2 linked regions of the Caenorhabditis elegans genome follow. The protein of the gene in region 2 purifies or fractionates together with the protein of the main gene of each other region. This does not show direct contact. Each region holds a gene or a part of one and is shown on either strand. Other genes may lie near its edges. The genes, in order: ned-8 and cyn-3.

Region 1 (15,164 bases), on a different chromosome or scaffold from region 2:
TCAACTCATAAAATTCATTTTAAGTTTCAGAAAAAATGATGATCAAATGGCGGTGTGGACGGGGGGAATTGTGATGCGGGAATAAAAGGTGATATAACTGACACAGAAAAATCTTCTAAAAAAATGAAATTCAATGCGTTCACATATGTACTCCAATGCACAATTCAAATGAAAGAGATGCAGGAAAAAGGCGGTAGAGAAACGGCAATGAAATGGATTGAAACGATATTTGAAAGAAATAGAAAACCTATGGAAATGGAAATAATTGATTATGCAAAACAACTAAACAACGATGTAATTGTGATTATATTATCCAAAACCCTGAACAAAACAACAAGAAGCGAGCAAAAAAAATTTGGAGCATTTGGACTAAAAACGGTAAATTTGGTTTCTTACTGGGCACTGAAAGAAGTTTCAAAAAAAAGATAAGGAATGATTGATCACAATAAAAGTGATAATTTGGGGAAAGAATGAGGGGAATATGTTATAAAAATGAGAAAAATAATAAAGCATTTGGAGATATACGGAATGAAAATAGGGGTCCTAGTTCTTCTTGAAACGTTTCTGCTTGGTCTTCTCCCAAACAGTTTGTCGGGGTTCGTTGAAGCGTTCAACATACTCGTAGGCCGGTTCCATCAATGACTCTGTACAGTTTTTCGAGCAACGACAATGAGCAAGACCACCGGTTGGTACAAGTATTGCACCTGGTTTTGGAGGTGGCGGATATACGTAGTTGTGTGGTGGAGTTTTTTTGTACTGAAACATTTTTTTAATTTTAGATTTCTACATTAAGAATTTGTAGGTAATGCTTTTTTCCAGGAAACGGGTAATAACATTTTTTGGATATTTTTGGAAAGGAATTCACTAATATCATTGCATTTAATGAGAAAATAATTCTTACAGTGTGTTTGAAAGTTGGATTTTTCTTGAAGAAAAAAAAAACAAGAACCAGGGTTATCGTGTTTTGGAATTCCAAAATTGGTTTTTTTTCGGAAAAATTAGATTTTAAATTAATTTCACAAACAAAAACATTTCCGATTTTCCAAAAAAAAAAAACGAGAAATTCGCGCATCACTGTTTCACGCTTTACATTAAACTTTCTAAACAGAATAAAACTTTCAAGGCACATCTTTAAAAATAAAACTTTACACTCACCATCATATCGACCATCTTTTGCAACTCGGGACTCATCTTCTTAGAAATCGTAGCCTGACCACCACCTGAAGCTTCACCAGAGGTTGTGGTTGTAGTTGGAGCCGTGGAGTGAGAAGCAGCGACATTACTAGCCGCTTTTCCATTCGTTTCTTTTATTATCTTCTCTTCAACACTGAGATTATCAAAAGCAGCAAGAGTTGCATCAATCATATTATGAAAATTGCCAGTTTTAAGCCCGGAATTCAATGGTTTAGAAATTAAATCAGCATAATCATCTGAAGGTTTCGATCCACCACCATCAGCCACAGAAGTACAGATTTTTGGTTGCAGTGCATATGGAGTTGGACGAACAAGAAGAGTATCATAAAGCTGACAAGATAGTTGTGAATGGCTGAGACCCTTATCACGTAAACGTATCCAATTCTCAAATCCAACTTCTACATTACTTCGCCATTTCGATACTTCAGAACTACGAAGAGCCAGTTCAATTGTGTTGTGTTGACTGCATACTCTGAAAAAATGATGAAATTGAACGCGGAATTGTTAAATAATCTAGTTTTGTTTTTGATTTTTTGAATCGCCATTGATTGACTTTTAAAAAATTATTGTTTTTACCCAGACGCAAAATATGAAGTTTTGTGATTCATGTGCCGAAAATACGGCCCCAGGTCTCACCACGACAATTTTTTGATCATTGCAAAGGGGTTTTGTACCTTTAAAAAGCACTGTAATTTCAAACTCTCGTTGCTACCGAATTTTCATCGATATTTCCCCGTTTTTTTTTCTCGATTTGTTGAGTTTTCAAGTGGTTTTATTGTTGTATTCGAGTTTTCAATTTTTTAAATAGAAAAACTATAAAAATTCCGCAGCAATGGAAGTTTGAAATTACAGTATCCTTTGAAGGCACGCACCTTTTTGAATTTATCAAAATATTGACCGGGTACTGTAGTTTTGACGCAAAATTTTGCGTCTAGCTAATATTGAAATCGATCATTGTGGGACCTTTTCTGGAACACATTTAACTAGAAAAAAAACGAACTTGGTAGTGAATTTTCCAATAATAGAGTGAATACTTTCAATACTGAAACGTTTCACTTCATCTACATATTGTGGACTATTAGAAGACATCAAAGCAACTTTCAAAGCAACATGAACTTTTTGAAGTTCAAGTGTGACTAAACGAATAGCTTCTTTGCATTCACATCCTGGTGGAAACATTGGTTCCAAAATATTGAAACCAAAATAAGCAGAAGTGACAGCAGTTCTCAAATTCTCATACATATCGTGAAGAGGTGGCAGTGGATCCTTCTCGTTGGGCTCTGTAAAAGAAAAAAAAATTGATAATATCAGAAATAATTCCAGAACTCACTAGCTTTTACGTATTTCTCGTTGATATTGTTGAAATAATCGAATTGTCTTTGAAGTTGAGCCAAATGTTGTACACTTTCAAGCATATCACAGCAAACAATTGTAGCGCTCTCGACGAGTTCTATCAGAAACTCTGGATCGTGTGCGGGCTGAAATTTGTTTTATTTTGAGGTAAAAACTAATCATGTGTTATTCAATTAAAAAAACGTACTTTGAAAATTCAACGGTTTGCATTAATTATTGTTTTTTTTTATATTTGTTAAAATTTGAGTGCTTGTAAACGAAAAACTAGCAATTTAAAAACTTTCCTAAAACTAGTATTACTCATATGCGAGAATCCAGAGTCTAAAGTGCTTTGAATTTGTTTTTTTTTGAAGATTGAATTACCATGAGTTCTTCCTTCAAAAGTTTTTCCATTCGCGGCGAATAATCGGAAGAAATATCACAGGGAGCCTGAAAAGGATTCAACTTTAACTATCTCTGTTTCAAAAACATTATATATATATATATATATATTACCCCGACACGAAATTTTGCAATGTCTAAGCTTAAAATATGGTACTCGGTCTCGCCAAGACAAATTTTCGTTAACCTCAAAAAGGTGTGCGCCTTTAAAGAGTACTGTGACTTCAAATTTGTATAGACTTTTTATAGTTTAAAAAAAATGATTTATTGAAATTTGTGTTTTAATTGTTTTATTTTGGGATTTCAATAAATCAATTATTTTTAAATGAAAATCTATGGAAATTGAATGTTTGAATTTACAGTACTCTTTAAAGGCGCATGTCGCTTGGCGAGACCGGGTCCCGCATTTTTTAAAGTGTACAATCTCATGTCTTGGTAATATCAGACAACAAATTCTTACATATCTCGACAAAATTCTATTATAATAATGGAGAAGACCGGTTCCCAGACTATGAGCGAGAAGAGCCACAGTATCTTCGTGTACTTTCTCATTATATGGGAATGAGGGATTCCAGACGTCTCGAACGAGTTGTTCGGCTATCAGTGTTGGAGCTGAATCCATCGACTTTTTGGATAAAGTATCAGATAGAATATTTTTAACGTGATGGTATGCTTGTGATTCTGTCCATTGACGGTTGGAAAGTGGGGATTCTGAAAATGGACAAAAAATATTTTTTAAATTTCAGTATTTACTATACTTTTAGCAGGTGAAGCGAGTGGATCTCCAATACGTATCAATCGATGTTTCACCTCTGTATCCTGTTGCTGACCGGTTTGACCACGTGGTTTGGGCTCTACAAAAGCTTCTTTCAATGGTATCTTGTCGCTAACAATCATTGGAGCTGTATAATCAGTTAGAATTGGCGCAATTCGAGATTCATCATCATCGTCATATTCTTCACCTTCTTCATCTTCATATTCTTCCTCGTCCTGACTAATTTCTTCAGAATCACAATTTTCATCTTCAACATGAGACACTTCTTCGTCCTCCGTTGAATCATACTGTTCAGAGTCTCCATCTATCGGAGTAGCTCCTCCATTTGGAACTCGCTTCTCCATTTTGTGGCTTTTGCTCTGTGGCGTAACATTCCATACGTAATCTTGATTCTGAAATTTAAAAAAATTAAATTAGATTACATTCTGATAGATTTGAAACTTTTACCTCTACGTACAGAAATGCAGTAGGATCATTATGAACATGGCGAATAAATGTGTGAAGCTGTCCAGTAGTTGTGATTGGCACGTACAAACCATTGACTGAAAATTGTCTAGCTTTACAAAGAAAAAAATTTATTCAGAAACAAAAGGGACCTCGAATACTGCCTGAAAGCTGCAGTTTCTCAAAATTTGCAAACAACAGTTGAAGTACTTTTCTATCTTTCTATATAAATTTTCGATTAAAACTTCTACAAAACTATGAGAAACTTTAACTTCGAATTTTTGTCTGAAAATTCGCTCCGAAATGGGATTTTTTTGAGAAAATTACCAGAATAATGCAAAGAAACAGTTTCGTCGTTGGAAATTGTAGCCAAATAGTTGTATACATCCTCGTATGTAACTTCCACATTCGAACGATACAACATTCTCTGAAAAGAAATGAATAAATCTTGAACTATCAGATATTTAATTTACTTCTCGAACATAGAAGGTGAACTTTTTCTTTGGAGTTCCAACGTACATGTAGCTGATTGCCTGAAAGGGTTGATTTTAATGTTGTTGGACTCGAAATCTTCAGAAATACTTACGACAATGTGGTCGTTTTTGTTCTTTTGACGTTTTCGCGCATTGCCTGATGATTTAGGCAGTTGTGACATTACCATAGTAGGCATTTCGGCTGAAATTTAGTTTATTAAGTGGAAGCATTAATTTCAATTTATGAAAAGGATAGAGAAATGTCATTTAAGCAAGAAAATCGAAGGCTCTTTGGAACGCTTTATGGAAGAGTGCAAGTTCGGCCACAAGGCCAATGTCTATTTATTTTCTGCTCAATGAGTGCTCATTAATGGGCTTATAATAGTAGTTATGATGGCCGTTATGAATGGTGAAATAATTTATTTAATTTCATGTTTGGGTTTGTGTTTTGTTCTATTTCACCCCAATTTTTTGAGTAATGTAAATATAATTTCTAAATAGTGTTCCGTGATTCATGAATGATATTTTAATTCTCCTATCCACAAATCTGTTTAATTTTCATTATTATATCACATTCGACCAGTAGGAAATATGAAAATCGATAACTAGTGTTTAGGATGAACCTAACTGAACTTCCTAGGAGATCAGAACGCGCAGTATTTGTAAGAAATCGATTTGTTCTTGATACGCTGAGCGCATTTGTTCGAGAAAGGTACTTCATTCGCTTTTCTTTCGTCTTGACGAACGGTGAGCAATTTTCTATCTCATTTCTTGAATTTTTCTTCTTCTTTTCTCAATAATATATTTCATAGCTATGAGAACTTTTAATACTTCAAACAAAATAGATTTCGGACTAAGACTGAAATTAAAAATGAAAATAATATTATAAAAACAAAAATAAATATTAACAAAAAATAACTGCGTAGTAAGCTGCTGCGTCTCTCATATTCTCATGCTCTCTCGTTCGTTCTCGCGTTCCAAATGCGCTCTACCGGACCCCTCTCATCATTCTTCGAATTTTGTTCTTTTTTTCAAGTTTAGAGTTAAATCCATTGTTTTTGAATCACTTTTTATCTGTTAACGCAGTATTTTGAAAATTTTATGTTAATTTTCACCTAATATTCGCTATTTATCGTCTCAGTTTACAGAAAATGCTCATCAAAGTTAAAACCTTGACTGGAAAGGAAATTGAGCTGGACATCGAACCAAATGATCGAGTCGAGAGAATCAAAGAAAAGGTAACATACTTTAACTTCCATTTTAGCTAAATTTTATCTCGAAATATCCAACGAAAATTATTTTGCAGGTCGAAGAAAAAGAAGGAATCCCACCACCCCAACAGCGTCTCATTTTCGCCGGAAAGCAAATGAACGACGACAAGACAGCAGCAGATTACAAGGTTCTCGGTGGATCTGTTCTTCATCTGGTTCTTGCTCTCCGCGGAGGATTTTAAGAAAATGTATTCATATAAAATGTAAACTCCCGTCTGAATTGAGCCCGCTCCAAATAGAAACGAGTCACAGTCCCGAATGTCCCGTTTTTATGTCCAATCTCTCCAACTTTCAATATTTATTGTTACATCAGTTCTTTAAATCATATTCCTCATTTTATTTTCTGTGTTCAAATAAATAATGCATTCTTGATCTCGTGATGCTATTATTTTAAAATTAAAAGCAGTCCTGCCCTGAACGCAACGGCGAAACAATTAGTGCTTCTCATTGACAATTTTCTCCTCATTGAAAAGGAATATTAAAAAAAATCTCGGTAACTCTTAAAAATGTTTTTCATTTATTAGAAAGAAATTGATGAAAATAACACTATGGTAACAAAAAATCCTGAGAATTCGTATTACGCAACAAATGAGTACTGTAGCACTGCTGACGATTTACGGAAATCATTTATTAATCGATAAAATATTAGAATAAAAAAATGAAAAAAATAATACGGAGAAATTCATTTCGAAAATCGAGCCCGTAAATCGACACAAGCGCTACAGTAGTAATTCAAAGAATTACTGTAGTTTTCGCTACGAGATATTTTGCGCGTCAAATATGTTGTTCAATACGCATTCTCAGAATTTCGTGTTCCCGTAATAGATGGGTCTCATCGCGAGCAAAAAAGTTTGGTAACGCTGGTTGTACTTTCTTCTCAATTTTGATTGTCTCAAAATCACAGTTTTTCATTCGAATATGAGCGCAAAAGATTGGAATATATTTATCCGTCACTGGATGTCTTGTTACTCGAATTGTATGCTTCAATATCTTAAGTTTGAACATCCAGACATCAGTGACTTGCCTATTATTATGAATCTACCTAAGCATAAAATTGGACCACAAAAGTTCGAAATAACTCGTATTGATGGAATTAAGGCAGAGTGTAACGTCGTTGAATCCATGGATGGTTTCTTCACCTTCACAATGCAAACAATTTAATATCCCAATTTTACAATCTCCGTCCACAATGCGTAAATGAAGCGTCGATGTCATTCATGAAAGTGATCGAAAAAAGCAGCATGCCATTCTAATAATGTGTTAGTGTTTTCTAATCTTGTTCATACCTAACACATATTGCACGACATCTGTTTTCCCCAGTTCCAAAATTCGTGTAAAATACCATTCCCATTTTTGTAAATCGTAATATCATCTCCTCACTCCCATCTGTTTCCCCTTGCATTCATCTTTTTTCTATAAAATATTTACCGTATTTTTTCCAATTTACCATATTATCTTAAACATCTTCCGAAAATTAGTACTGTACTCCTTAATAATCTTGCGTTTAATTTTTTGTTTGGTGCAATCCCGCTTCACTAATTTTTAAGAGTTACCGAGATTTTTGTTTCCTGTTTTTAAACAATTTTCTCAAGTTTATAAAAATTGAAGTTATTGAACTTTTTGTTACAGTTATGATCAAAATGTTAACATCTCCAAATGAAAAATTGAGTTCTTTCAAGTAAAAATTAATAAGCCCAACACAAATAGTATAACAATCATAGAAGAAATACGGTTGTTATATTAAGTGCAAATCGAAAATGTATCCATATAAGATGGTGCCATATCAGCCATATCGGCTCTCGTTCAGATCACTTAAACTCAGAACTATGATGACGAAAATATGTTTTCTAAAATTTTCATTTCATTGGTAAATCGAAAGAACTGCATAACCTGAGGATAGCCTTCGTAAAATAGAATTTTGAAATAAAATACCCCGGTCTTGCTTATTGGTATGTCGTGAAGATTTCTGAAAAATTGTATTGCAGCCATACCAATAGACAAAATACGGCAGTTATATTGCATGTAAATGGATGAATTCTATATATTTTAGACCACAATTGTTTATTTCAGACAGGATGGAAAAATATATTCACAATAGACCAGAGACAGAAGAGAGAAGATCAAGAGGAAATAAAATAGAAATATCAAATAAAGAAAGTTAATTTATTTTGAATGAGATATGTGAAGAGATACGGAAACATGGACGATGTAGTCATGAGCTGTCACCGGAGCGTTTCTTCTTAAAAAAAACAGAATTATGATAATTGCCAGATTAATTTTTGGTTGTGAATGACGCAACGCATTGGACAATGATAATAAACTGGATTAGGAAAAGATTCAAATATAATAATTACAAAAAAAAACAATCACTCTACAAGCTAATGCGAGTTCACCTTCAATTCCTTGACAATCTTCGGATACAATCTCCTGATTATACGGGCTTCCTTACCATTTGACGTTCACCAGAATGCCATCTTAAATGTGCTTTCAAGTGACTGCTCTTATTATAAACTTTTCCACATCCAGCAATATGACAATTATGAACTCCTCGCTTACGTGCTGCAATTGCATTGGGTCCTGAAACGAATGAGATATTGAATTTCGATGGAATGAAAATTTTGTTTCCTATGCTAGTATTAACTGAAATTATTGAACATGACAAAAATGTTCAAAAATTAGTTTTTGGCTGTTATTCCAAAAATTAAAGTTTATGGTAGAACTTGTTGTACTTCAAGTACATACTAGGAGCATTTTCCAGTCTTTATCGATTTTCAGAAAAATGTTCCCGTATTTTAGTAGTTATTCTTGAATGGTAAAGACTATTGAATTATCTCAATTATATAATTGTTTTTCTTGCGGTAAGACCCATTCAAGTAAAGCCATGTTTTTTTAAACAAAACTCAGAAAATGACCAAGCTACAATTTGTTCAAATAAAAAATCAAAATAAATTTCAAAGTGAAAAAATTGCTCTTTTCTTTAAAAGTGCCCCACCCCCCCCCCCCCCCTATTTCCTATCATCATTCATCATTCATCTTACACCTTCTGACAGTTTCTTAAAGATCTTAATCATCTTAATTTCCTTTTTTGTACGGCTATTGATATCTGTCGGCATCTAAATGTTCCCAAGAGAGAGCACATCCCATATCGTTGCACACACCAATTATGCTCCTATGGAGCGCATCGGTTACTTAAAAAGCGTGGGATTTTGGTTGGATTACCCATGAACAGGTGCGTGTGGATTTGTCTACGGACGGATAAAGGTATTATTAGGTGAACGAAAATTTGAAGAAATTATTTTTGAAATTGGATTTATGCATAACAAGCGATTAGATGACTGATTGCGTGATAATTGGTTCGTAAATTTTGGAACTTCTACCTGAAGGAGCATATTCAGATGAATCTCGCGGCGAAAAAATGTATGGTAGGGTGTTTTGAAATTAGTTTCACACTATTTTGCATATAATTTCGTTCCATAAAATCTTTACAAGACGAAATTTTTTTCCGCGGCAAACCAATCCAAATAGAATTGTGAGCCACATTTTTTAAAATTGCGAATTTATGAAATTATTCTCCAACATTTTAGAAAAAATATTGAAAAAATGAAATTCTAGGTAAATTACTTTCTGTGAAATTTCTGTTTAACTTTTTCCAGTTCAAAGAGCACGTATTGGCTCAATGTTTTGTAATGGTTTAATTGATCTTTTTTCTGAAGTTTTCTGGTTGTTGCCAAAACCCATATGCCCAGGGAGCCTGCCTTTAATTATACTGCCTTTAATTAAAATTTCAATGATCAACAAATCTCAGCTTCTCCTCCTCAGCCAGACGTATCGAATTACTGATCATGTCTGGATGGCAGGTAATTACGCCGGATTAACCAACAATTTTGCCCGTTCAATGAACTACGGCATTGACTGACAAAGCGAGGATCTGTTGCACTACAAATTATTTCAGCATTTTTACTCAAAAAATACGTTACCTGGCCTTGCGACCATATACGAAATATTTTCATATCAAGGAACCGCGCAAATATATGCGTATTTAAGAACTACGGTAATCCCGGAAAAACTAACACCGATATTTCAATTTTACAGTCGTCTTAACGGAAACAATTCCAAAAAGATGTTTCCTACATTAATAAATAGCCAACAATCGTTATACGAAACAAAGTGGTTATTAAGGCTTTTAGAACCCTGTTTTAGAAATCATAAAACTTTCCCTAAGAACTCCTTCCCGCCGCTCTCCCTTCTTTCAATTCTTTCAATATGTGCGATTTCACGCTTTCCGACTCACTCCCTCCCTCCGTCCCTTCCATCAAAATTGTCCGAGAGCTCAAGCTCCGTCGCATAAAATGTATGGCAGAAGGAGGCAGTTTTTTTTCTATTTCTTCCAAAAACGTCGTCCTCCCCCCGAAAAGTGACACCTCCAGAAGAATCGAGCGAATAGAGAGTGGGAAAGTTGAGAGACGCAGAGATACTGTTTAATTGAACGTTTTGAGATGGGACGAAAGGATGAACAAAACGGACGAACGATTTGATTCATTGCCAACACCTTTTTCATCTTTTTCATTTTTTTGCAGCGAAAAATGAAGAATTGGAGAGGAGGAAACGTACCGAATTTCTCAATTTCGTGGCAATTTGGGCACTCGCACTTGTTGGCGGTTCGTGATGAAGGATACTTACCAGTACCTCCACTACCAGAAGTTCCACGAGCACTAACACTTTCAGAACCACTGCTTACAAGACTATTTGCACTGGAATTGGAAGCTGTTAGTACTGATGGAATTGATGAAGATGAAGCCATTGGTTTTGTGTGTTGGAAACTCTGAAAAATAGGGTTATTTTTCAATATCAATGGTTTGTAATCGTTTTTAAGCTTTTCAGGTGGGCATGCTTGCCTAACGCCTATCAGAAAAAAATAAGCGTGTACATAAGACAAGCAGGCGTTGGCAGGTCTAGGTTGTATAAAATGTGGGCGATCAAGCCTGGATTGTCTTGAAGGCAGATAGGTAGGCGTTTTTGCCATGACAGCAGGTATGCAGACCGGCTTATAGGTCGGCAACTATACCTAGCCAGCTCTGAAGACAGTCAGAGAGGTCTAGGTCGTCTTTAAAGTAGACAAGCAGGTCTAGGCCCACTCGAAGGCAGGCGATTAGGTCGTCTTGGAAACAGACAGACAGGTACTTTGTTGTCTAGAAGACAGACAAGTAAGCGTAGGTCACCTTGTAGGCAGACATCTATACCTATTCGTTGTGAACATTTTTCGTTACTTGATTAACATTGTGAAATTGCTTCTCCCTTCATGTTTCAGTTTATTTTTAAAATATACGTTTCAGAGCTCTTTGATCATTGAGCCACCATGTGATAATCATATTATCACTACTCCTACTACAAGTTGTACTAGTCTTTGATATTTTTCCTCAAACCCCGCCAATCAGTACAACACCATTTAGGTTGTGAATTTCGAAAATGCCGACTAATCGCTTGCCTATTTTCATATTACCAAAATCGTGTTGGTACTGATATATAAAGTACATTTTCGTTACGTTGTCACTGGATCAGAATTTTCAGACCTTTTCAAAAGGGTATTGCAAAGTAGTTTAAAGGCAACGGAGCAATTTGGAATGGGGATTATTTAATCTGAAATTTTTGGTTAAATTTATCGAAAGGCAAAATTTAGAAGCTTTTTGGAAATATTAATATGTTTTTTAAATACCTCAGATACTTCAAGCTGTTTTCAGGTTTACAAAACATTATATTGAGAAAATCCCATCAAGAAAATTCAAGTATTTGTTTTGATTTTAAAAAAATCGCATTGAAAATGTTAAGCGCTACTTTTCTCCAGCTCAAAGCGCTCTTCTAAATATTTGTTGCTAAGCCATAACTAACCTTTGCAATAGTTCTCTGTTGACTCGTTATGTTGAGAGCTGATTGTGCATTAATACCGGCTGGCAGTTGAGAAGCCACTGCAGAAACTGACGAACTTAAAAGGCCACCAAGTTGACTAGAAGCCAAGTAGTTTTGATAAACATCTACAGATGAAGCTGTGGTTACTGTAGGGTACAGTTGTGGCCATCCTGTTTGGTCAACCCACCTGAAACATACATTTTTGATAAAGTTGTCAAATTTGTACAATAGAAAAAATTATGTAGCATTATAGAACAGTAATTGATTAATTTGGAATTTATGTTTTTTTTCTGTTGGAAGCTTGAAAATAACATACCAAAGTTTGCTGAAAGTTGCAATTTGAAAAAAAGTATTTTAAATTCACTTCATAATTTTGAACAGCAATAAACATTGTTTTTAAGTAGATCAAACTTTTTCTAAAATTCTTGATTGATTTTTCAGTTTTGTACATTTTCAAAAACCAATGTGTTGTGCATTCCCAGTCGGAGTAAATTAAATTTTAAGTCACAAATTGAAAATTTGAAACATATTATGATTTGCAAGGAACGAGGAGAAATATGAATGAGAGCAATCTAAGGATGTATAAAACTTTTGAGGGAAACAATAATTGAAATACAGTTTTTTGGTCGATTTTCAAAATTACTAGTGGAAGAAAAAATTTATGCTTCCATAGAAAAGTTTAATCAGAAATATTGATTTTTCAGCAGCATAGAAGTAAAATCTCTAAAACCCATGCTTCTAAAATTATCAGTTGATAGGCTTTCATTTTCAAAAATTAATAATCATAGTTATAAGCTCTTTAAAATCATAGATTTAATGTGTACTTACCAATTAGGAGTTGCTAAATATGGAGAGTACGCATTCATATCAGTTGGCAAAAGTAGTGATTCTGGTTTTGCTGGCTCTGCCTTCATTTTGATATCTGCTCCCGGCACGAATTTATTGCAATGCTCAACGAGCTTTGATAAAGGGTTTTCTCCGCTCATTTGGAATGGGACCTGAAGTTTAGAAGGTTACATTGAAATCATAAATTATAATTAGAAAAAAAAGAAAACTAACTGAAAATGAGAGGGCGACAGAAGCGGCATCCGTCGGATTCAACATCTTATTTCTATTGTTTTTCACTTTAATATACGAGCTGCCGAAAAAAGCGAGAGAAGTGAAATAAGGGGCGGAGCGACGAGACGGGATGCGAGGAGAGGAGGCTCCGCCCATTAGACTACTGTAGATGTGAGGTGGTGGTAGTAAGGGAAATGGAAAACACGAGAAAATGACAAGGGATAATTAGAATCGAGAGCTGGTTGTGTTGATGACGAGAATGTCATGTGATTAGAGAAAATTTGATAAATATTTTTAGTTTTTTTTTTCAAAAAATTTCGGGCAGTATTTTTTAGAAAAAATAACACTAATTGAAGACTAATGGAAATTTGGACATACAACAATATATAGATTTTTAGCTTGGCTACAAGTCGACCCACACCTGCTTACAATACGACGAATAGCTACTTACACAGACGCCTTTGTGTTCCCATATTTGAAAACCAGCACTGCAAAAACATAATGAGAAGGAAAACAGGCAGAAGGCAGGCACGTATGAAGATGCGCCTGCCTAATACGGAAGGCTGATATTTAGAGAAAAATAAACATTTTTTTACTTTCAGTCTGTTGGCTAAACTTTGATCAATAATTTTTCAGCCGATAATTTCCAAAGTTTATCTATTTTTAGTTGAAATTACATTTATTCGAGGGCGCCTCACAACCGCCTCTTCACTCTCCCTTCTTTCGTTCGCCTTGTGAGGCGTTTTCGAGACAAAATTAGTTCCCTAATTATTAAATTAAACTTGTTACACATTCCAGTTGACAAGAGAAATCTAGCTTATGTCATTCTTGTCATAATGACGTCGAATAACATTGTACAGAATCCATGTGGCAGACAATGTTAGACGATGGTTTAATAACAGGTTATCCCCCTCTTTCATACCTTCTGTCAAAAAACGCCATACACGGGATGGGGGCTCTGGTTTGTTCTCGAAGACTGCTGCTAGTACATTTCGTCGTACGAATTCCATAAATTACAGGGTTGATTCAAGTTTTCAGTTCAAAGATTTTTCCGTTTCGGGAGTTGTCTTGCAAGTGACATGCAAAATGAACACTGCAGAGGGGAAAGCGGGGATTTGGAAGCTTTTTTTGTTTAATGTGGAGTATCAAATAAGTTTATAATTCGTTTATCAGGACAATTTCAATCAAAAAAAATTGAGGAAGCTGGGCGAAAGTCTTGAAAAAATTGAAAAATGTTTTTAAAACAAAATCCCTTTGACTTTGTAATACTTTGTAATATTACAAAACACGGTTTTCAACTATGTTATTTTATGTAACTAACTGAAAATGCACCTCATCCTACTTGTATCCCAGATTTCAGCCAGAGGTACGATTTCACAACTTGTAGTGTCGAAAAACTTAGAACTAATCTTTCTATGTAGGCACAGAAAAGCCTTCTTACCTCCAATGCCATTTATGCCAAGAATGCTGAAAGCAGGTGGCAAGCAAGCATGAGGCAGGCGCGTACGCCTGAAAAGGTGACTAGATTTATAGTGTACGGTTAACGAAAAATTTAAAATTCCTATTTCAAATCGAAAACTGCATTGACAACGTTTTTTTTAGAAATTTCATAAACAGTGAAGTGAAGAAAAACACATATTTTTCGATGGAAGAACTGCATGTTATGTACTAGATTTTGATTGGTTTGGTTGTACCTACTATCGAACAAAAGCCTTGAAAATGTAGTAACATACAACGGCAACATTTTACCAAAAAAAAGCAATTTTATTCAGGGTGATTCCCGCCCAACGACTTCCCATAAATTCGTTTTCCTATTTTTTGTTCACACACAATTTGTCTCGTTTGTCTCGTTCGTTCTCCTCTTTCTGTCCTCCATCTGATCGAATCTCCTTTTCTGGGAACACTTCCCGTTACACCTGACGACTAACAGTTGAGAGCGGTACTTTTTGAAAAAAAAAGAGCACATCATCTTAATTGGATGAGAACACTTTCAAAAGATCCGCCACCTCATGGTCCCGTTCATCATTAGACGATTATCTAATAACATATGGAGAACAATTATGAGTGAGCTGTTACAAGTGAATAAACGGTTAGGTTGAAGTAATAAAGGTAACACATTTTTAGAAGTGATTGGTACAAAAATATTGGTTGGTTATGGACTGTGTCTATTTAACGTTGAAATAGCTTGTGGCTTTTAGAGTTGAATTTTCAGACAAAAATACTTTCTACTTTTTAAAGTTAACTATAAAACTTCTAAATAATAAATGATCTTCAAAAAAATAGTCAAAAGCGGCGAAAAAACCAAAAACA
Region 2 (15,784 bases):
TCAAACTTTTGATATTGATCTGTAAGTATGGAAATCTTACATCAAACTTGTCCAGGTCTGCAAATGGATTGCTGAATCTTCGTTCCCATTTGTCAGACTCCTTTTCAAATGCGTGTGGATTGTACATTTGCTTCAAGTCATCTGAATCCAATTTACAGTTTCAGGGCTCCTGTTAAAACAAGAACTTACGTAAATTTTTCCTATCTGAATGCATAAAAAGATCAAATCTAACTAAAAGGCATGCTGGCCCAGCACACTGATTAGATGGAGTACGAAGTGTCACAAAGCGATATCCTGGAAATATTGAGGAAAATCAGTGAACTATGCGGTTGTCTCACCATTATTCATAGTATCAATATGAAGTATTCGTTGAGCAAATACACTACCCGACTCATTATGAACATTGAATTGAATGAATGACATGTCATTCAACATGATTTTGTCGAAACTGTATACATGACGCTCATAGTTAGTGACAAACGAAGCCTCCTCTCGAGTACGCCGTCGGCAGCTGGATTCGAATTTTGCAGCCGTGGATACTGATGGCGATGCGGCATCATCTTTGGATATCTGATCAGGTACGTCAAAGAGGCGAATGGAAACTGAACTTCGTCGACGAAATTTGCCAGAATCCATTGAAGAGAGGAAGTATGCGGCAATGATCTGAGAAAGATTGTGTAAACTGAAAGATGTCTAGAGGTCTGTCTAATGTAATAAGCTTGATCTTTTTCTTACCAGCTCTCACTGAGATTTGGGGTTGAAACCCTCTGAAAAAAGTTCAAGGAAGAGATTTTCGTGAACTTCAGAACTTGAAAGAATCCCCGAGAAGATCTATGATAATAAAATTTGCTTACCTCAACCTCGACCGTATACGCTATCGTGAATGGAATCGACAAGAACGGCCTCAGCTGAACATTCCGTGCTCTGAGCCAATCAGGTTTTCTCACGTATCTGCAAGCTCAAACTTCACGCCCTTTTTTCTATTTTTCAAACATACCCACAACCTCCATTTCTCTCAAACATTGCGTAGTTCAGTTGCATGTTCGAACAATTTGTCTGAATATTTAACGAAACCATTTGCGAGCCGGTTAGCCAGTGAATCATCGGGTTGTAGTTGGTGGAATAGATGCGAGAGGCTTTCGGGTAGATTCTTGTGATCTTTGATTTGTTAAGATTTTGGACTTTATCAATGGAATTTGCACGGAGACAGTTGTAAACGGTATTCTCATCAGCAGATACTATGCATGGAACGATGTCCTTTGTAGCATTCTCTAGATTGACAACTGTGGAAACTCCACGACTGGTCTCATAGGCTTGCATGTAGTTGGTGATGGCGGACAGCTCGGAGCATGTTGTTTCTTCTGGTAGCTCGCTGAGCTGGGCGGCTTTTTGTTCTTCAGTGAGCTCATTGAATCGTTCATTCTCCATTTCTTCATCTTCGGTCAAATCGATTGAAGATCCCTGTAGATCAATGCTCGAGCTATCGCGACTTCTTGACTCCTGTTTCTCGAATCTTTTCTTCTTGGCTTTAATCAGAATCTTGTGCTTCAAAAGTTCCGGCGGTGGATACACAACGTCGCCTGCCCCCTCTTTAGCGTAAAGGGGGTAGTCTGGAAGTGGGCCAGTCAACAGCAGCTCTCCGAATACTTGACGAAAGATCTGCACCATCTTCTCTTGTTGTTTTCTGCCAAGGTGATTCTCAATGGATAGAATCACTGGATAGGGAGATGTCTTAAAAGCACATTCCTTGATCGCCTCGCAAACTTCTTTCAATCCAATCTCGTTCATTCCCATAACTGCAGTTGGTCCATGAGTTATCACAGGTTCTCCATCTTTGTCCTTGTTATCCCACATATCTAGCTCAACGCATCGACTTCCACTTAGAAGAGCCTGACGATACATCTCAACGTCAGCGGAGCAATGACCAATTGCGTAGACCAGTTGGTTGCCTGAACGGATATTTGAAAAAAAAAGTCCGCGTGAGTTGATGACCTACCAGAACAATAAGTGTTGTGTGAAGAATTAATGAAATACTTGTTGATCGGCTCTCTCATACTAGTCACATCCATCTTCATTCTTTGTGCCGAAATCGCAACTCCGCACTCATCGGACACCATCCAATGTGTGAACATTTGAGGTGAAATTGCGGAATCTGAAATTAGCCTCGTTTTTAAAAGAAGCTTCCAATTGTAGCTAGACTAACCGCTAGAATACTGCCAGTTTTCTAAAATCGAGTTGATCTTCCTATCTGACACCTGATTGAACCTAGCGTCGTTGAGTCGATGATCGTGTTGATTTTTTCTAAGCCAATCGCCAAATTCTAACTTTGTGGCAACAGGTTCATCCTCGCTTCTGAAAATGAAACTGACTAGGAAACCATCAGAAGGTGCCCAACGGACTTGCATATGAGACCTATGCTATTCGATAGCCCATGTCTTAAACCAATGTCTAAAACGGTTACTCGTGATTTTTTAGCTGCGAATCTCCAGAACTAAGCTCACGGCAAGCTCTCAAAGATCCTGAAAATAGCACTATAACGAAAAATTGAAGGGTCAATTTTGCAGCTTCACTTTGGTAGATCATATCTCCGCGGATAAATTTTAAGTTGTTGATCTTTTTGTAAGGAACAAGTTTGTAATTGAAAGTTTTTAATAAAAAAATTGTTGTTTCAAATAAAAGCGCGTGAAGTGCGGCAACTGTTGTCTACTATTTTAAGGCTGCGATTGCTATTCTAATGCTTTTATCTGAAACAGAATTTTTTTTGGTGAAAACTTTCAACTACAAACTTGCTCTTTACAAAAAGTTCAACAACTTATCAGTTGATGACTTTTCTGTTAAAAATTTATCCGCGGAGATATGAGCTACCAAAGTGAATATGGAAAATAGCTTCTTTTGATTGTTACAGTGCTTCGTTACAGTGCTATTGTAGGATCTTTGAGAGCCCGCATTAAGCTTGGTTCTGGAGATTCGCAGCTAAAAATTCGCGAGTAACCGTTTTAAGACATGGGCTATTAAATGGCATAGGTCTCCTATGCAAGTCCGATGGGCACCTTCTGATGGTTCCCTAGTGAGGTAAATTGCAATTAATAAGAATCTTACATTTTTCGAAATATAGCTTCCAACCTGGAACCCTCAAACTTGGTAAGTATCATAATGATCTTTATGAGCTTCTGATCGTCTATCTCGACAGACTTTCGATTCTGAATGAGACTGTAATGGTTTTGCAGGCATTATGTTAACTCACCACTGGAAGGAGTTTTCCAACCTCTGTCCATTCAATTTTCGTTGAGTTTTTTCGATGCTTGTCGAAAACCTTCATAATACTGAAACTTCAATGATCAAAAATCAAGCTCCCATGTGCTTTGCTAATTCAATCATACACTCGCTCTTAAAGACGCAAAGGCTTAAAACTATCCAGTTTCTGCTATGAAAAACTTTCTATATTCGATTTTCTTGCTTTCTCTCTTGGTGGCTTTCCTTGGAACACCAACGGATGCGCATACTTTTGACTGGTAAAGTTAGCAGTACTGCTTAATTTAAATAATAAGATTTACAGCTTCGATTGCACAATTCCTCCGGTTGAGGATGAAAAAGCTGTTGATCAATACCACCAAAAGTATGATAGACGTGGGAAAAACTCGCTGCACATTGATATTAACGTCGAAAATTATTTGAAGCATCATTACAATTAAATAATGAACGTTTTACTATGCAGCAATTCGCGTCCAGTTAGGTGTACCTTGCAACTACGGTATAAAAAACTTACTCTTCTTCAATACACCTTCTAGTAAACGCCGCGTACATCTTCGGAGCCAACTTTTTACGAAAATGATACAAAAGTCCGTGCTCTTCCCGTTTGACACGCTGTACCACAGTAAATAGAGTGGCGGCGAACTCGTGCAGGCGTTTCTGAATCAAATCAAAGGATTTAGGTTAAAGTATAACGAAATCACCTCATTCTTCTCCATACACACGAAATGAGTGAACTTTAGATTCGTGATGCTTGTCCCGCTGACAATAGTCAAAAAGTTGGGCTCATAACTTCTCTCGCTGGGCACTAATTCAAAGTCTGTCGGTTTTCCTGCACGAACGTCATAGATTCGTTCTAGATAAATGTAGTTCTTCTCGTAAGCAAGCTGAAAAGTTGGTATTCTAATATGAAAAATTGACAAATAAGAGGTGTAGAAATGAAATAAAATATAGAAATAGATTATTGTTACTTTTTATTTCTACTCTAACTTTCCTCCTACTTACAACTTGAACTCTCAAATTTTCAAACATTTTTTTGAATAAATTTGAATATGGCCTCACGTGGCGTTCCCCCGTCAAAAGAAAAATTTTCTTCAACTGACAAAATGTTCAAAAAATATGGATAATATTTTATAGTTGAAATCTATTTCGCAGCTTCGCCTATTCTATAGTTATGGGGGTTTTAAGGGCACCAACCTACCTCCTTTGTATTGAAAACTTTAGGATCCTTGTACCTCCAATACAAAATATAAGGTGTTGGATCAACATGAAGACGAACGGCATTTCGGCTTGTCCAATTCTGAAAATTTCATAATTTTAAATATTTTTGATTACCCAAATACGCTCCATTGACAAAGAGTAATTTTTTTACAACAATGTAAAATCCTCACCTCCTCATATTTAAAGAAAATCAATTTACCATCACGCAAAATGTCAGTAGGTTTCGTTGCCATGTTGGCGGAGGAAAGTGACAATTTTGTCACTTTCCAGGCCAGTTTCCAACCAAATCAGCTTTCCGTGTCGTCAGCAGACGCCCGAGAGAGTACGAGTTTGAGGAGAGACGCAGCGAATTTGGCTGTACGAATGTTTGTGTTTGGTGCATATGATTGATAACTGATAGCATTCTTTGATTGGGGGAGCAGTATGAAGAAGAAAATGTCAAGGTTTATGTGATGTCACCAGTGAGTTGTAGAAAAGGTTACTAATTGTATTTTGATTTTTTATAGTATGTATTTGAATAATTTGATTTTTGGTTTTCAGATGGGAACATGAATCGAGTGTGTCTTTGAATGAATATAGGACAAATATGTACATATGTCTGACCTCATGCCTACACGCGTGCCTACATCCAAAGTACATGTTTTAGAGCAAATAGGCAGTAGGCAGGCAGGCATAAGGTAATCACGTTGCCCGGTCTCAAAACGACATGTTTTCGTCAAAAAAGTGTGCGTCTTCAAACAGTACTGCAATTTAAATTTTTGCTGTGCAATTTCCTTCCAATTTTCATAGAGTTTATTAATTCGCTTGGAAAACTTTAAAAAGTTGATTAAAGAAAAGGGACAATACAATTTTGAGATTACATTACCCTCTAAAGGCGCACATCTTTGTTATTTAACAAAACTGTGTCGTGGCGAGACTTATTTTTAGCCCAAAAAGTACATATGTAATTTTATTTCGAAATAAAGAGAATGTTCTTGATCGAGTTTAGAACTAATACAATATCTCGTCGTCAATTTTATTTAATTTTTCCAATTTGCTCGTCGAATGGTGTGCCACGTCTACATCTTGCGTACTTTCTCGGGTACCGTAATACAATAAAATCCAGAAAAATTATTTATTTCAGACCATATACACCGCAAAAGCACAATGAACAGATAAAGTAATATTTGCTTCAGCACATTTTCCACTTCTCCAAATCACATATTTTCCATCGGAAGTCTTTTCAGCATTGTATGTGTAAAACCTTAAATTTATAGAATTTTTGAAACTACTGTAAACATTAATTTAATCGGATCACCTATTGCAATATCGATAATCGGTGGGCCTTTTTGAGATAACACTGTCACGATCAGCTTTATCACATTCTATATCACATGCGATTTTTCCGTTAGAATCTGAATTTTTCTTGCGATTTCAAAAGTTTATTCAAATAAAAAGACGACCTTTCTCACAAACTGCAGGTTTAAATTCTTCGCCGGTTTTTTGAAGAGAGCAGTTGGCGTTTTCACATTTTAAAATCCGATTTTCTGAGAAATTTTTAATGTCAATTCAAAAAAATTTAATCTTTTAAAAATTACCCCATTGATAAAGAGAGTTTATAGTGTTTAGAAAAATTAAAAGCGACAATAAATAGTAGATGCGATTCATTAAAGATTGAATTAAAATCTGAATGGATGTTGCATGTAGATTCAAGTATTAGATAAAGCTGAAATCCGGTTCTGAAACTCTCCGCTTCATTATTCCTCTCTGCTTGCCTACGCACACTTTTATAGGTACACAACGGCGCACTACTATTCGCGACCGAGTGGTTCAGTGGTAAAGCGCGCCGTCTTCAAACAACAGACGCGGGTTCAACTCCTCAGCGGTGATCGATGACTTGTGCAGTGGCCGAGGCGATCGGATTGTGATGTCGCCTGAAAAGGCGGGACCCAACGTCGCGCCTTTCGCCAGAAGATGGAAATATGCGCAACGTCTGAGCTGATTTCTTTTTTTTTTCTCAATGAGACCTGGGTTTCTTCAAAGGAACAATCGGGGATAACTGAGGTTTATGAGAAAAATATGGATTAGTTGAATACTGAAAATATATAATCAAGAGATGAAGGAGATTTCGGGTGCAATTAATTTATGCCTTGAGTTGTCCACAGTCAGCGATCATGCAGTCCTTGACTGGCTTTCCGGATTGGGATCCGTTGGATTCGACAGCCTTCACGACGTCCAATCCTTCGACGACACGTCCGAAAACGACGTGCTTTCCGTCGAGCCACTCGGTCTTGACGGTGCAGAGGAAGAATTGAGATCCGTTGGTGTTTGGTCCAGCATTAGCCTGAAATGTTGAAAATATTACTTTCGAGACAGACAAAAATTCTGATATTTTTTGAGACTGATACATTCAGCTGCTCTTTCTCATAAATCATTCAATTTCTCCTAACAACGGCTCAGCACTCCATCCTACACACAACGTGCTGTGAGATATGTCTGCGTCTCTCACAGATACGACAATTTCCGGAAAAGCAACATTTAGAAATCTTCAGTTTTCCCTCTTTTCGGAGAACAAACAGTGATATTTTTCCCAAATTGAGCAGAAAAAAACATTTTCTCGAACTTCAAACAGATTCAGCTGACGATTTGCTTACCATGGAGAGGACTCCTGGTCCGGTGTGCTTCTCCTTGAAGTTCTCGTCTGGGAACTTCTCTCCGTAGATGGATTCTCCTCCAGTTCCGTTTCCGCGGGTGAAGTCTCCTCCCTGGATCATGAAGTTCGGGATGATGCGATGAAACTTGGATCCCTTGAAGTGGAGTGGCTTTCCAGACTTTCCGATTCCATTTTCTCCGGTGCAGAGAGCGCGGAAATTACCGGCGGTCTTTGGGACAACGTCATCGTAAAGCTGTAAAAAATTTATTTATTGAAGATGAAAATAGCCAAAATTTCACAAACCTCCATGACGATACGTCCGGAAGCCTTACCACCGATGGTGATGTCGAAAAAGACCTTTGAGCGGCTCATTGTTGAGGCAAGAATAGGGAAATTACTGAAAAATCATAAAAATTACATAATTTAAACGAAAATCGATAAAAAATCTGAATAAAAAACAGTGAATTCGCATGAAAATTCAAAAAATGGGACCGAAATGGAGAGCGGCAGAGAAATTTCGATTTGTGGGCGGGGTCAGAATGTTCGCTCCGTTGATAATTTGTGAGACCGCGAAGTTTGAATAAGGTTTTCTTTCATCAGCAGAGCGTGCTTACATTCTTCTTTTTGGTGGTAGTTTAAATTTGAGTTTTTTAACCAATCAAAAATTAACAGTTCTTCGCGGTATTTTTACCTTCTCCTTAACAAAAAATAATCTGCAGTTTTGAAAACTGAAATCAACAACAGAATTTATCAACAACAAATTCAACAAAGCTTGGAGCTAATCTTCCAAAAGATCAATGAGCTTCTGAAGCAACGCATTGTAGGTTATATGATCGAGAGATTTATAATTTTCGTGATGCTTCAACGCAGTAACATCTTCGCTGGTCTCCAATTGCGAAAGGCATGCATTTTGAAGCCTTGAGAGTCTGTAGACTTCGGCGAACTTCAGCTTGTCGATCAAGTGGGTCTTTTGGTCCAAAATCAAAAACGTTTCAGCCTTTTCCAGAACTCTTGGCACCGCGAATCTATCGCTCAGCTTGAGCAAGTGAGACACGTTGGAACCTGAAAATCCGTTAATAATTCCAAGCCTCAAATAAAAAAAAGAACTTACTATTAATGAGCATGTGAGTGGGGTAGATCACATTGAGCAAATCGATAAACTCAGAGTGGGTCACATCATCGATTTTGATCTCAGCCTGTGTCTTTTCGGCGAAATTCGAATAGAACATTTTTTGGAAGAATTGCGAGCTCGTTGCGAGCACTTGCTTGCCAACATGGACATGTTTTCCTTCAAGCACCAGCACAACATCGGTAAGATGTTCCTTGGGTTGATCGAAAGTCTCGATAATCCTCTCATGAATTCCGGCAATCTTGTTGACAGTAATTTGGACTTCAAGAACGGCATGCTTATCGAGCACAAATCGATTATCGTAGCAGATGGCTTCCTCCCAATTTTTAAAATTGTTGACCACCACAATCTTGTTCAAGTCGTCGAACTTTTGCTGAAACTCCATCGAAAACGCGTCATCATCCTCGTTTGAATTGAGTCTCAGAAGTGAAAAACGAATTGACGCATCGCAGGACCACAAGTTGCTGCGCAGTTCCTCGTTGCATTTCAGGTGAATTCCGAGATGTTTAGCATTGTTCGTAGCGTCGGAAGTGCTTGTGAATGCTCCAAGAATCCTTAAAAGATAATATTTTAAATAATTTAGAACATTTTTTGTTTCATTAAAATTCACTAACCATTCTACGTGTCCAATTTGCACTGGTTTGTGCTCCGTCGCCTTCGCCAAGCCAGAAAAATTTTGAATCTCAAAACGAATTGATCCTTTATTGTCTTTTCCAGACATTTTATCTTGTGATAAATTTAATTTGAACAATGAAGAAGAATTTGAAACAAACAATTTAAGCTGAGCAATGCTCTCACCTACAGTACACTAAATGGCTTCGAGACCAGTCAAAATTTATAAAGTTTATTGGTCTATTTCTAGGACTTTCACATTAACCATTTTTAGCACATCACGATGTATTTTGTGCAGATTTTATTTTGTCCTTGTACGAAAAGATTATTTTTTAGCGGATAAGCAAAGCTAATCTTGACGAACCGCTTCGCAGATACCCGTCACATGCAGAGCTTCATATTTAGCTCAATCGATCTCGAAAGCATTCAACAAAATGAAAAACTGTTGGATTAATTTGTGATCTATTTAGCAATTTAAAATGTTCTCAATGTTTCTCAATGTTAAATCATCTCGATATTTCTCCTTCTTTTCGTGAAGACCGTGGTGATGATCGAACTGATATCAATGACCGGTTTTTCAATGTAATCTTTTATTGCCTACAAAAATTGTTATCAATTTCGGCGCCGTTCTGTTGTTTTGTGTACGATCATTTGAAAACACAGGCGCACGGTGAAAGTGTTGACAAAAGGCGGGAAACACAGCGAAAGTGTCGTCAGATATGGCGCATGTCGTATGATTGGGTGTCGGGTACGCAGACACTTTTGCGGACTTTGTTGTTTACGTCGGAAAATTCTAGAAGCGAACGGCTCATTTCTTCTCTCTTTCGTCGCCTAATTTGTTGATTTTGTCAGAATTTTTATAGTTTCGCTTATTAAAATGAATTAAAATCAATTGAAAATTATTTAAGAACTTTTTTGATGTGCAACTGTCGTTTAATCCTTGTTGAATCACGTCTTTCGGCAGATTTTAGGCCCAACAGGAAAATTAATTTAGTTGGGCCTAAAATTTTCTGTTTTAGTGCGCTAATTCACTCCATTTCAGTATATAGCTCATCCGTGTGCTTCTTCCTTGTATCTTATGGTGCTTTGTTTATATTTTTAACTTTGATTGATTCCCGCTCTATTACCGCAGAGCGTGTTTGCCGCACCTCTGTAGATATACCTATCTCATACATATTTCTCAACTATAACTCAAGCATTTTAGTGATTACCCTACCTGAAAATGAGCCGCCCAAGAGTCTTCTTCGACATCACCATCGCCGGAAAACCAACCGGACGTATCGTTATGGAGGTAAACAAAACACTGATCTTTTTTCATGAAATTAAATCTTATTTTCAGCTCTACAACGATATTGTTCCAAAAACCGCTGAGAACTTCCGTGCTCTTTGCACTGGTGAGAAGGGAGTCGGAAAGTCCGGAAAGCCACTCCACTTCAAGGGATCCAAGTTCCATCGTATCATCCCAGAATTCATGATCCAGGGAGGAGACTTCACCCGCGGGAACGGAACTGGAGGAGAATCCATCTACGGAGAGAAGTTCCCAGACGAGAACTTCAAGGAGAAGCACACCGGACCAGGAGTCCTTTCCATGGTAAGTTATGTTGCCTAGCCAGATTGAAAGACAGCATAAACTGATAGAAAAGAAGCATTATCTAGTTTCTTAACTGTTATCCACTGGCTGATAAGTTTCATTGTTTTTCTTCAGGCTAACGCTGGACCAAACACCAACGGATCTCAATTCTTCCTCTGCACCGTCAAGACTGCCTGGCTCGACGGAAAGCACGTCGTTTTCGGACGTGTCGTCGAAGGATTGGACATCGTCAGCAAGGTCGAGGGCAACGGAAGCAGCTCCGGAACTCCAAAGTCCGAGTGCCTCATCGCCGACTGCGGACAGCTCTAAATTTGTTCTCCGTGAGAACTTTTCTTCTTTTCAATCACCCCATCCAACCCTGTTTATTGCTTCACTTTTTCATCTTGATCATCAATAAATTGCTCGAAAAGAATATAGTTGTTCAGTTACATGGGTCGTACTCGAGGAAGCCTTCGTGAATTGTTCTCAACAGCTTGGAGAGAACTGTAACATTGTAGAAGCGATTGAAAGCGTCGATTTCCGTCATTTTGTTCCAATCTCTGCGCATTCTATCCTGAATTTCAGACAACCGTTCGAACTCTGTTGACTCGTGAAGAGTAAACACATAAAATGGAATTGTTAGAGGAAAAGCTGTAAATTGTGCAAATATTCAGATTTCGAGCATAAAATGTAGGCATTGTTGCCAGCTCTTCACATTCTTTTGGTTATTCTCACTTGTCAGATTCCTAGAAATGTTTCCCGAGATTCTTAATAATGAAAAACTTCGATTGGAGAACATTAAGAAGATCTATGAATCGAGCAAGTCTGGTTATGAATCGGCCAAACAGTTGTATGAGCAGCAGGTCAACAATCCGGAAGTTTCGGATGAGCAAAAGTCGGAGAATTTGGAGAAATTGAAGGAGTCTCGTGGTGATTTGGACAACTTGCAGAAGAAAATCGTCGAGCTTCAGGCGAAGATTGAGAACTTGGTTAGTTGAATACCTTTTTAATAAAGCTCCAGTAGTCTCTCCATTTTCAGAGCAAACTCGGCGGGCAACAAGGAAATCCATTCAAGAAGTTGTTCTAATTTTTGATATTTTCTTAAATGAACTTTCTTCCAGTTACAAGAGTATTACAGGCGCTAATATTTATTTACAATTGTGGCAAGCTATTTCAGAAAATAATGTGCGGGTTAGTAGGTTTGGGTTGTACACAAGAATGATTTTAGTCCTCGTCGGAGCTCTCTTCCGAATCCTCTTCGGAATCCGAGTCATCATCTCTCCGAGCGCCGATCCCTTTTATCTTTCCGACGAGCTTTTTGATGAGAGATGGCTTGTTCTTCTCTTCGTATTCTTCCAGATTATCGTGAAGCTGAAAATTGGAACATTTATTGTGAGAAGGCTTTTTGAAAACATACTTGAGATCTGAAATCGACGATCTCTTCAGCCGAAAAGTTCGCGACAATGAACTCTCTGATAGCAGGCTCTCCGAATTTGCACATCTTCAGCACGTGCTCCTCCTCATCCGAAAAATCACCGTAATCATCATAAATTTGCAAGTATTTCTGGAAATTCTCAATTATTAGGGCATTCAACCCCAGAACCCTACCATTCCACAGAATCTCCAGAAACACGTTGAAGCTGCGAAGTCTCTTCAGCCTCTCCATCATTTGTGAAGCCATCGTCTTGTCCGGAGCTACAAAACTAACAATTTATTTTGATGAAGCTTATTATATATTTGCCTTCCCAAAGTGACTGCGGCAGTCATATCGAGACACAAATCATGATCACCATTGTAGAATCGATTCCACCAGAAGTCGAACTCTCTGACGCCCATAGACTCGTTTCCGAGAGCATCGCAGAAATCTTTGTATCCTTGGGTAGAGTCTTTCAGACTGAAAACTTCGTAGAGGACGCAAGAACGAACGAATTCCGGATCTTTGCACAGAGGAGAAGTAATGAACTGAAAAGTAAAGGAGTTAATCGAGAAATTTGAAATTTTTTAAACCTCCAAGTGCTTTGCTTTCTTCTCAGAACGTGACGGATCCGATCTCAGGATTTGCCCATTCTTTGCACGTTCGAGCTCGTGGTCAATGGCATTTTGTGAGCTGATCTCAAGACCCAAATCGTGATTTCCGTCGTAAAAACGTCTGTGCCAGAACTCGAATTCCCGATTATGCATGATGTCGTTTCCGAACGTGCTGCAGAAGTTAGCGAATCCCTGAGAAAATGTGTTCAGCTTGAACACCTCGTAGAGAACACATGTGCGAAGGAAGGCTGGATCAGTACGCAAGGAAGAAGCCATAATCTGAAAATGAAAATTAATGAAAAGCGTAATACATAGTGCAAAATGGAAGGGAAACATGGGAAAACCAGGGAAAGAGAAAAAAAGTTAGAGCTGGACCAAATTTGGGACAAAGGAGAAAAGAAACGAAAAAGAATTCAATTTTTACCGCGCGCAGAATAAACTTATTTGATCTACGGATAGGTCAAAATTATATAGATCTGATCAAATTTCTTTTCTGAAAAAAAAAAGTTCTGATTTTTTAAACCGAACAACAAAAATTTTCCGTTTTCCGATGTTTTGAAAAAAAAAATCTAACAAAAGAAACACATTTCTAGGAAAAGAAAAAGTATTTGCAAGGTTCGAGTTTCGAAAAACTATGTTTGAACCGTGCCACGTGACGCGTGGTTGCAGAAAAAGCGTGCGGCGCTTGCAAAAATGGGCGGATTAGCCACACGCGCTCTCATACTACTGTAGACAAGAACATGTGCAACTGCAGACTGAACACTCTATTTGACGCGAATATGCAAAACATGTTTTCTTCCGGATTTTTGCCACGCCTTCCAGCTTGTTTTTCATCATTTTTCCTGAAGAAAAAATAAATATTTCATTTATTTGTTATTTACCAGTTTTTAAGGCCTTTTAGAATAATTTAAAGTTTTCCATTGGGGGATTCCGAACAAAAAATTTAAGTATGAAAAATTTTCTTAATCTCAAAGTGATGTGGACTAAAATCAATTATAAAATTTGCATCACACGCTTGGTAATTGATTGATCCACTCAACGGGCCTTCATATTTCGGGTCGAACACTCTTGCAAGCTCCGTAGATCGGTTTTCCGGGAAGAAAAGTTTAGCGTACTGGAAGTGGGCAGATACTGTGAGGATCTGGAAATGAATTTTATTTAAAATTTTATTTTGAAATGCATAAATAAATTTAGATGTTTCCTCTACTTTTTTTGAAAAAAGGGCCTGTTCTGAGAAATTTTATAGGAAACCTAGAAAAAAAAACTCACATCTCTGGTCTGTATGGCATCTTCCGTGGTAAATGAATCAGTTTTAATCTTAAAATGCTCAAAATGAAAGAGCTCCTCAACATCTATCAAATACGTTGAGAACAACGCTTCTAGAACCTTTGCCTCTTTCCATTGATCCAAATGAACAATAGTTTCGAACAAGTCATATTGGTCAATGCTTTGCAGAAAACTCAATTTCCTAAGTTTTCCCGCCTCGAAGCATGCCAAAATAGGCACCATCTCGTCGAATCGTGCTCTTTTAACTTGAAACTCACTGACATTCAGAGGCTCTGCAGACTTTAGAACTACTGGAAGGGAGTTTACAAGAGTCTCTCGGTGGTTTGCTTCTACGAAAATGTAAAATTGAAGTTTGAACACTTCCAGATTCAGTTTCGGATTTCTTAATAGTGATGAGAGATCATCCAGCATAACATCCACACAATTTCGTTTCTTAACCTTCTTCCTTTTCTTTCCAAAGCTTACAATGCAACTTTGGCCCACTGTTTCGTAGGTGATACACGCATCATCCAGATGAAAAGAGACAGTTGGGTTATAGAAACTTGCAATTTCAATTTTGATTTCCTTGAAGCGACAGGTTGCCTCAATTATTGCACGGAATTTTCGAGACACTTTTCTGGCGATTATTCTGGAAATTGTAAGTTGGCTCTGTTACTAACAAGTGAAATCGGTTCTACTGAATTGAACAAATTTATTTTCAGATTATTTTGAGAAATTTCAGAATTTTCACAAAATATTTTCAAGGGAAGCCACTCCAATTTTGTTACTTGTAAGGAAACAGTCATAATTTCGATTAATAAGTGCGCTCCAATGAAATCCTAAAAAACTATATTTGGAAAATCTCTCACCTATCAATTGGTCCAAGCTTTCTCAAAACTTCGTCGACAACTTCAGTTGGCAATTCAGAAAATGTTGCTGTATGCGATGAAGCCGGTTTCGATGAAGAAAATAGCTTTTTGATAGATTTCAGCTTTACCATTTTCCTTTACATTAAACTTTTTTGTGGAAAGCTGACTATTTGTTGGTTTCGTAAAACCAAAGATGAAAAAAGTGAGAATGACAAAATCGGCTGATAAGAAATTAGGAAATATTGTTATCAGAGTAGAAGCATCAATTTTTCTGTGTTCCAAGTTTAGGTTGGCCACAATATTTTTTGACGAAGCTGGAGCAACTATTATGATATGACGAAGCTGGAGCAACTAGACACGCGGATTTTCAAACTTTTCGGTGTTAGAGTATTCCATTTTGGTTTGATCTTTAAGAATTGCGGACGCTGACATTTCAACTGGTGAATTGAGAAAAAAGTCTAAAACTATTCTATAAATTTAAATATCAATTTTAAACATCTTTCCGGTCTTTGTGCCTACTTCAAGTCAAAATGCATACTTGCATGCCTACTGTTTCATAAAATTTCGCTCATACTACGTCCTGCTCAAGACGAAATTCAATTCCTAAGTTTCAAGACAATTCTCGTTACTCAAAACAGAGACCCGCTCTCAATACTTCCTTGGAAAATTACTGACTCAAAAAATAAGCTCTAATTTGACTATCGAAATCAACAATTATATCCAGCTTGAGAATGCCTGGAATTCTGTGAAAAATCGTTTCCAATTATGTTTTGGCATTCGGTGCTTAACAATTGAGTTATGACCCATATCACATTTTTCTCAGAAGGGAGTTATGACACATATCACATTCAGCAAATTCAATTTGAACAATTCAGTTGTTCTCGTAGTTCTGTCTAGCAATTTCAGCTGTTATAGGTTTTTCTTGCGATTTTCAGTTTTCTTTAAATAAAAACCTCATATTTTATCTGAAAAAATTCTTTATAAACTTGATTCAATAAACTGTAGATAAAACATGGAAAACCTTCCCACTTTATTTATTTGAGTAATATTTATCTTTAAACATTTCAAACGAGGAACATTTGTATTTGACTTGGACTGTAGACCTTTGTAAAATCAATACCCTCTGGGACCTCGTGCTTATACAAAAGGTTGTGGATGTGAACGCGACTTGGCTTGCACTTCAGGAATGGAGCGATCCATCTGAAAAC

Evidence for each region.
Region 1: the proteins of cyn-3 (region 2) and ned-8 purify together in Caenorhabditis elegans (affinity purification with mass spectrometry; 2 studies listed by BioGRID, with this or other methods). This does not show direct contact.

The regions. Positions count from the first base shown.
Region 1 is NC_003279.8:10,364,467-10,379,630, reverse strand, and holds ned-8 (Ubiquitin-like protein NEDD8), read left to right. Parts: upstream 1-5,768; 5' UTR 5,769-5,771; coding exon 5,772-5,858; intron 5,859-5,926; coding exon 5,927-6,073; 3' UTR 6,074-6,258; downstream 6,259-15,164. Other genes in the region: hpo-35 (PB1 domain-containing protein), read right to left, coding at 544-756, 1,156-1,666, 2,195-2,474, 2,525-2,672, 2,911-2,976, 3,389-3,639, 3,687-4,095, 4,151-4,245 and 3 more; sptf-1 (Specificity protein transcription factor 1), read right to left, coding at 8,104-8,130, 8,341-8,468, 10,503-10,713, 11,778-11,982, 12,624-12,793, 12,855-13,010. UniProt on the Caenorhabditis elegans protein: Ubiquitin-like protein which plays an important role in cell cycle control and embryogenesis. Covalent attachment to its substrates requires prior activation by the E1 complex uba-3-ula-1 and linkage to the E2 enzyme ubc-12.
Region 2 is NC_003283.11:15,181,642-15,197,425, reverse strand, and holds cyn-3 (Peptidyl-prolyl cis-trans isomerase 3), read right to left. Parts: upstream 7,500-15,784; 5' UTR 7,475-7,499; coding exon 7,406-7,474; intron 7,356-7,405; coding exon 7,104-7,355; intron 6,794-7,103; coding exon 6,593-6,793; 3' UTR 6,500-6,592; downstream 1-6,499. Other genes in the region: Y75B12B.13 (uncharacterized protein), read left to right, coding at 3,427-3,512, 3,557-3,692; plc-2 (Phosphoinositide phospholipase C), read right to left, coding at 41-141, 190-294, 339-663, 855-951, 998-1,949, 1,997-2,152, 2,204-2,352, 3,100-3,200 and 5 more; Y75B12B.11 (DUF7808 domain-containing protein), read right to left, coding at 5,590-5,713, 5,768-5,864, 5,913-5,996, 6,048-6,117; bath-36 (BTB and MATH domain-containing protein 36), read right to left, coding at 7,881-8,164, 8,214-8,785, 8,846-8,952; cyn-7 (Peptidyl-prolyl cis-trans isomerase 7), read left to right, coding at 10,066-10,134, 10,183-10,434, 10,549-10,743; Y75B12B.3 (Transposase), read left to right, coding at 11,166-11,402, 11,453-11,500; Y75B12B.1 (Mos1 transposase HTH domain-containing protein), read right to left, coding at 12,018-12,108, 12,155-12,375, 12,421-12,717; fbxa-84 (F-box domain-containing protein), read right to left, coding at 13,385-13,582, 13,711-14,356, 14,577-14,707; T09F5.10 (DUF1248 domain-containing protein), read right to left, coding at 15,641-15,776. UniProt on the Caenorhabditis elegans protein: Catalyzes the cis-trans isomerization of proline imidic peptide bonds in oligopeptides. Plays a role in protein folding, transport and assembly.